Linked DNA regions of Lepisosteus oculatus. The protein of the gene in region 1 purifies or fractionates together with the protein of each later gene. This does not show direct contact. Links are inferred from orthologs where the notes say so. Each region holds a gene or a part of one and is shown on either strand. Other genes may lie near its edges.

What was found.
Region 2: the proteins of arid1b (region 1) and smarcd2 purify together in Homo sapiens (affinity purification with mass spectrometry; 5 studies listed by BioGRID and IntAct, with this or other methods). This does not show direct contact. The link is inferred for Lepisosteus oculatus from reciprocal best matches to the Homo sapiens genes ARID1B and SMARCD2.

What each region holds. Positions count from the first base shown.
Region 1 is NC_090697.1:11,358,101-11,361,852, forward strand, and holds the start of arid1b (AT-rich interactive domain-containing protein 1B), read left to right. Parts: upstream 1-1,147; 5' UTR 1,148-1,614; coding exon 1,615-2,991; intron 2,992-3,752. UniProt on the Homo sapiens protein: Involved in transcriptional activation and repression of select genes by chromatin remodeling (alteration of DNA-nucleosome topology).
Region 2 is NC_090723.1:2,688,487-2,692,238, forward strand, and holds the start of smarcd2 (SWI/SNF-related matrix-associated actin-dependent regulator of chromatin subfamily D member 2), read right to left. Parts: upstream 2,839-3,752; 5' UTR 2,474-2,838; coding exon 2,321-2,473; intron 2,239-2,320; exon of another isoform or gene 1,571-2,238; coding exon of another isoform or gene 1,505-1,570; intron 1,471-1,504; exon of another isoform or gene 1,270-1,470; intron 1-1,269. UniProt on the Homo sapiens protein: Involved in transcriptional activation and repression of select genes by chromatin remodeling (alteration of DNA-nucleosome topology).

The DNA.
Region 1 (3,752 bases):
CTGCAGAAAAATGAATTGAGCCTGGGGGAAAGGAGACAGGGAATACGTGGACTGGAGCTCCGAGCACGGAGCACGGATCCCCCAGCCGAGGGATCGTGGACAGCAGGAGTCGGGCGGTCGCGGTTACAGTGTCATAAGGTTTAGTTTGAATGCCGAATTTGACCAAATACGCTTGCTATTGTGACGAAAGCATTTCATTTAAGTGTAAAATTAAATTGTAGTTTGTAGGTCGTTATTTTAAAACGCATATTAATGTAACTGCTTCAAGGAGACATACACTTCACACTTAGTAGCAACTTGGTACCAAAAGTCATTAAAGTACTGTAAACTGCATGTATGCCAAACACTACAAAACTATAGGGATGATGTTGTGTATGTACTTTACTACGGTAACCTTTTGAATAGCGGCCTATTTACGTACTCTCTTCTGCAACACCCTGATATTCTCGAGATAATGGAGTTCAAAAAGTGCAATAATAATAATAAAGATATTGTTCATTTTACACTCTGCTTCCTACTCGACTGAGAGGCTGTTAAAAGCACAGAAACCAGTCTTTGAGGGGTCTTTTGTGTGGTCTGGAGATGAACAGCACACACACACACTCAGAGGAAAACTGGAAATGTGTAAATATACCTTTAAAAGCCGGTTCATCGTCGTGTTGCTCTTTGTGGTTGAGAAAGGCAACTATGAAAAACCCCTCTGCCTCTGGCTAACATTCTGTAGGAGGAATACTTCAAAACATATCAAAATCACAATTTTCAATGAAGATTTTAAAGAGTTTCAAATCAAGACTCAAAACCTTTTTTAGAAGGACTTTTACTTAAACCGGGTCTGTTATGTACCTCTTTGCTCCTACTGTAACCCCATATACTACCTCTTCTCCTTTGCACACTCGTGCTTATATTTCATGTTTTTTTTTAATTTTGTTTTGTTGTTGCACAGTGAGGCGCTTTGAGAAGCCGCTTTTAAAGGTGCCAAATAAAAATAAAGTTTATTTATATATATGATTTAACCAGCAACGTGTATGGGGGGGGGGCGTTTGTTGTTAATACCCCACAACATGATCGAACCGACTTCCCCCGGCCGTTTTGGAGAAAAAAAAACATCCTTGATTTTACTCCGTAAAGAGTAAATCTGCGTCAAACACGTCCCAGGCTTGCGCGTACACCGCTGGCTGGTCAACGTGGGATTTGCCAGCCCGGTGGGTGAGGCTAGAAATCCAGTCCGCGTTTTCCACGCGAATCGCAAGAAAGAGCAGGATAATAGTTGCAAGAGCCCTCTCTCTCTCTTGTGCCATGCTGGGCGAGAGAGACACAGGGAGACATGCATTTACCCATATCCGGGTTAGAGAGGAAAGGAAGAAAAGTTTCATTTAAAACCTGGACAAAAACTTTCAACATGAAATCACACCGCGGGAGCAGGCAGAGCCAGTGAGACAGTATCGTTTCCGAGTACAGCCAGAACTTTACGGTTTGCGGGATATTCGTTCATTTGAGCACTTCTCTCTTGTTTTTTTCTCCTTTTTTTCCTCCTTCTGTGTGTTTTTTTTCTTTTTTTTCTCCCTCTTTTTTTTTCGGTCTAAGCCTGTTTGGATTACTGCCTGAAATGTTGAAATGATCATGGCCGCGCAAGTGACAACATCTCCGGCGACGACTGGTAGTAAAAATCCCAATTTATCCGGCGGTCTGAATCAGGATTTAAACTCTGGGAAATCGGGAGGGGGAACGGTACAGGGATCGGGAGCAATTCTGGGAGTTGGAGATGGAACTAACACTATGAATAATGTAGATCACCACCACCACCACCACCACCATAACGAGCTGAGCATGGCCAATACAACTTCTTCTTCTGCAAATAACACTTCGGACTTGCGAGAGAAGGAGGGCGTCAATAGTGCTGCATCTTTATCTTCTTCAAATTCGGCTACTTCTTCGAGCATGGAGACGGGTTTGATAGCGAATCACAAACTGAAAAATGTTGGTGGCGGAGATCCCCCTCCTCCGTCTCACCATCACACACCGACACAGCCCCAGCCACCACGATTCAGTCAGTTCCAGCAGCTCCATTCACACCAAATCCAAAACAACAACATCAACAACAACAGCAACAGCGGCGGCGGCAACCAGGCGCAGGTACCGGGGGAAGCGGAGAATCGGCAACATGGAGGGAAAGAGCATATTTTGGGAAACCAGGTCGGGCAGCAGCAGCCGCTGCTGAATAAAAGTGAAGAGGAGGGCCGTGCCTGCAAATCGGGGGATCAGATGGGCAGCAGGTACGAGCACGCCAACTTGGGACCAGCGAACAACAACAACAGCAGCAGCAACAGCAACAACAGCAGCCAGCCCCAAAGTGCTGGGGGGACGACTAGCACTGTTCCCGAGTTTAATAATTATTATGGCAACGCTAGAGGAGGCCCTTGCTTTGATCAACATGGCGGACAACAAAGCCCTGGGATGGGGATAATGCATCCTTCGGCTCCCAACAGCATGGATTCCGTTCAAAACTCCCACGAAGGGTACCACAACAGCCAGTACAACCACTACCCGAGCTACCGACCGGGCTACGGCGGCGCAGGCTATGGGATCATGAGCTCTCCCAGGCAGGGGAGTCACACGCTGATGGGCCCAGGCAGCAACAGCCACAGCAGCGCTGCTGGCCATGGCAAGATTGCTATGGCTGCTGCCTCGGCTCCTGGGGGCAGCGTGGGGGGGTTTCAGAGGTTCCCCGGGCAGAGCCAGCACCCGTCCGGGGCCACCCCGACTCTCAACCAGCTCCTGACGTCCCCCAGCCCCATGATGCGGGGCTTCAGCGGCGGCGGCTACCCCGAGTACAGTGGCCCCGCCGCGCCGCCACAGCAGCAGGCGAGCGTGGGGCTGGGCAAAGACGCGAGTTCCCAGTACGGGTCCACAGCCCACGGCTGGGGAGGACATCAGAGAAATCACCCTGTCATGAGTCCTGGCAACACTGGACAAGTTATCAGTAGACCTCAGGTAAATGTTTCTCGGTTTTGTACGGCGTGCTCTCGGGAAGCTCATGCTGAAGGTCTGTGTTTATCGTCTGGTTGTAGTTGCAAAACCTAGTGGGTTCGTCATGTCTGACTTTTTTTTAACGTGCTGAGCGCACATTTTTTTCTCCGTGTAACTAAATCAAATGGCTGTTTTCCTCTCTTCCCCTCCTTTTTCTTTTTTTTTTGGGGGGGTGTTGTTGTTGCTTTATTTCGTACCGGCTTGGCTGCTGCTACTGTTGTTGTTGGCGGTGTTTTTTCTTTAAAATATCTGGATTTATTCGCGTCCACCCCTCTCTCCTGTGATGTCGACTGTTATTAGATTTTAAAGTTAGGACGGGGGCTGGAAGTTCTGTCCAAGGTGACTTACGTGATCGCAAATGCACAAAAGATCTTCATAATAATCAGGTATTTGAACGTAAACGCACCCGTGTCTTACGTTATATTACTGTTTACATATATTTTACAGCTTTTTTCCCCCGTCCTTCTTTCGTTTGATCCTCGTGGAGGATTACGAATCGTCCCCAGGAACATTCTCGTCCGCCGCTTAAACTTATAAAGTATTATAAATGTGGCGTGATGAATATTCATAAATCGGATGTGTCCTTCTTGTATAATATTTTTAAGTACATTTCACTCGCCTGCGACTGGGAAATTATATGATATTTAAGAGATCGGCCGTCACTCTTTGAATCTCAGGCCCGTCCTGTGGCGAGTTGTGTACTAACGTGCGTTTTACATACGTGT
Region 2 (3,752 bases), on another chromosome or scaffold:
AATATCAGGGGATCTTATTTGGGTTTAGAACTTATAGAAATTATCGCATAAATACATTTTAGTTGGTCCTACTCACTATTAAACATTTGGAACAATTCTGTAAAATAATTTCTCAAATTGTATTAAAATGATCAGATCTCAGTTTGTGTGGATCAATTTTGAAGTTACAGTACATTCATGCTTGTTTTCAACAGTATCAAGTACTAAATTACAAAAATAAAATATTTGGTATTTACCAAAAAAATATGTGTTATTGCACACAAAACAAATTCCGCATAAATGAATAATATCCTTTCACCTGCAGTTAAACTCCCCTTAGCTGCCTTGTTTGACTCTATTAAATTAATCATACTTGATCAAATACTTCTTACACTTTTTCCATGATCAATGATAAGAGCAGTATTACACTTCTGAAATCTGATTTAGCAAACTAGTCTAGCTCTGCTTTGCAAGGTGTGTGGGATTTAAATATTAACTTCTTACAGAATACCAACTTTATATTTGGCCTGTTTTAATTACCTTTAATTGCCACACTGCTAAGAGTACAATAAAAGATTTGTACATGAGTTAATAGGTAATGAACGGGGTAATTTGAAAATGTTCGTTGAGAAAGTTCTGAACAGGTAGATATGGGACAGATTCATTTTTCATTAATTTCTTCTTTGAGCGCTTTTCTTGCTTTAAGAAACCTCAAGTGCTCTGACACATTTGTCCACGTGTCAGCGCACTTCAATGCATGAACTATTTTAAATAATTAAAATGGCAGTTTCCTGTTTTTAATTTGGTAAAAATACTTTCCTAATGCTCTTCTGGGAGGGATTACAATAACTGTGCTATATATCGCCACGGAAAGATATTTTGTATCACATATAAATGCGAAAATACAGTACAACGCTTTGCAATGTCTTCAGCTTCATTCAAGATTGTTTTTTTTTCTCGTCTTCTAGCGATTCGATCGTGCAAGAGATGCCGAGATATGATATTAGCGATCGAGACAGGATTTCCTGCAAAAAGACGCATCTGCGTCTGACATTTCTTATTAGAGCCCAGCACGTTTATCGGATGCTGAGTAGCTGGGCAGAAATGGAAACGTTTGTGTTCTGCTCCGTGCGAACACTGTACGACTTGAAGTTCTCCTTCCCAAAACAGCAGTTTCACTCAGGATTCGCCCTCCCCCAAATGAAAGCACGGAGGCAGATGCAATTACTGAACTGTAAGTTTTAGAAGTACTGAGAGCAGAACGCGGACTCACAGCAGGCACTGACATACCGTAGAAACCCAGCTAGTTTTGACAGATTACTATCCTGCACCGACTTTCCTCCCCCTTCCCCCTCGGCTTTCCCATTTCTGAACTGTCCTGTCTTCAGCGGATACCTTCCATGTAGCAACCGAAGAGGTATCAGTGCAAACGCGAATGTAACCAGAAAGAAACGAGAGAGGGGAGTTAAGAAGTGTCAAGTCACGAAGACAGCGCTCGCTCTCCCTCGCAACAGAAAATACAAACCACATGAGGACAGGCTATGTCATGTGGGACTGGTTTCGGTTCCTCTTTAAGCGTTAAAGTTAACATGTCCTAACGAATATCCCTTTCCGGGACAACTTAACGTACTCTTTTACTGCTATGCTCTGGTGTTTCGGTGCTCTCGGTGTTTTATTCGGTCACACACACACACGCACACGCAACATAACGGCATATTTGTCTTCTCTCACACACATTCAGGCAGCGATCCTTCATAAATGCGGAAGTGAGGACTTTATCAACCTAGCACTCTGGTTTTGTGTTTTTCGGGCCTTTGCAAAAAATGACAAAACGGAACAATTCTCACTTGATGCCTCCTTTAAAAAACGTTATTGATGTAGTCGTGTCGTTTCCATGCACTCCAGTTCTCTAGTGCCATGCTGATCATACAAACGTTTCTGTCTTTTTTTTTTTTGTCCAGTGAGGTCTAATGTAGAAACACGGATAAAGTTGTGCTTTAACCGCGTTTCAGCTCAATTCTGCAAAGTACATTGTATTAATTCACTTACACCAGCTCATTGTTGTTGTTGTTTTTCTAGTTTTCACGGGAACACCCGACTTGTTTAAATTGACTGATTATTAATAACACAAACCAACAAAACAAACAACAAAAAAAGTAACATACACAGGACACACCGCGTTAAAGCAACGTACTGTAAGCTCCCGCTACCATAGATCATACCGATTAACCTAATGACAGAGACCGGAAATCAATCGAATAATTTAAATTACAGTATAAACTTTTTTTACCCGATAAACTGGTCTACGCACTAGGCGCAGAGAAGAACAAACCGCAGTTACCTGATGGTACGGGGAAGCAGCTGAGCCCATGGCCCGGAATCCGCTGTTCTGTTGCATTGAAGGAACCATTCTGACACCCCCCGAATTCATAGGGTTAATATTAGGGTTCAGTGGGCTACCTGTATTCATTGGGTACACACCTCTTGAAGTCATGTTAAAGCAAATTTAGCTTTAGTTTTTTTTAAAAGAAAAAACAAAGATCGGCGATTACTACAACCCTTGAAAGCGGCAAACTTTTCTTAACAACATAAATACGAACAAAAACAAATTGGATGCAGTTAAACGTCTATCTTTTTTTTAACCCTACACTAGTTCCTGGGTATTTTTCATAAACTCACTCACTCCCCTCTTGAGCAACTCAACGTTGGTTGTATTGTCGGTGTCATCATTTCCCATGAATCTAAGGCTTTGTTCAAGCCCCCTATTTATTTTAAATGGTTGGCACACAAAAAGAATTTAAGAGCCTGACCAATGTCTAAAGATAGCGATCAGACAGGGTTTGGCTGCGTGTGTCTGTAATAACACGCAGCCTCCTCCTACTCCGTGGTTTGCAGTGCAGAAAGAATTCTATATGGCGCCCTCTGCTGTTTAGTTCCGGTTAGAGCTGCGTGTATACCGCCGGGGTAGTTTGCCCGGTTTGCGATTAGTGGAATGTTGTGGAAATCGTTTTTTATAACGATCAGTAGTACAAGTAGCTACAAAAACAAGATATGTAAGCCATCTTTTAAAATTTGCAATAGAGCATCCGTTTAGTCCATTTTGATCTTCTGGTTTGCTTGCTCAGCTGTTGTCTTCATAATTCATTGCGAAGACCTGAAACCGTAACTGTAAGAGCAAATAAAAGACCAAGTCAAAATTAATAGAATAAAACAGCTTTTTTGTTCTATCAAGGCTTTCTCACCTAATGATAGAGACAGTCGATGGATTCATGGCCCAATGCAGGATACAGTACCTACAGTCCACTACTCAGGCTGAATGCTCCTTACAGACAAGATTTCGTTGTGCTTGGGAGATTTCTTGTCTGCTTCCGTATTAGAAATAGAAAGCCAGGTAAAACCAGGGCCCACTGTGAAAACGACACACATTAAAAGATGTCACGGCACTTTTTCCAAAAGCTAGGATGTCATATTGTCTTGACCAAGGTGTGAGCCATGTAATCACCACGCAGAAGGTATTGCACTCCGAAATCAAATGAGGTGGTAGCGTTGACTATCATGCCACCCTTTTACAGTACATCAATGTACAATGATTCATTCATTCTGGGTTTTGATATGAAACATTAGGTTAACCGTGATGAATGGAGTGAGGTAACTGCAAACTGCCGTCACTCTGGAAGAAGGGACTTACCCAGCCTCTGACTCTAGGACAGTTCGCACATTGAAGCAGCACCCATCCACAGGACAAGTCCCTGTGTCAAAGTGCAGTCTCTTCT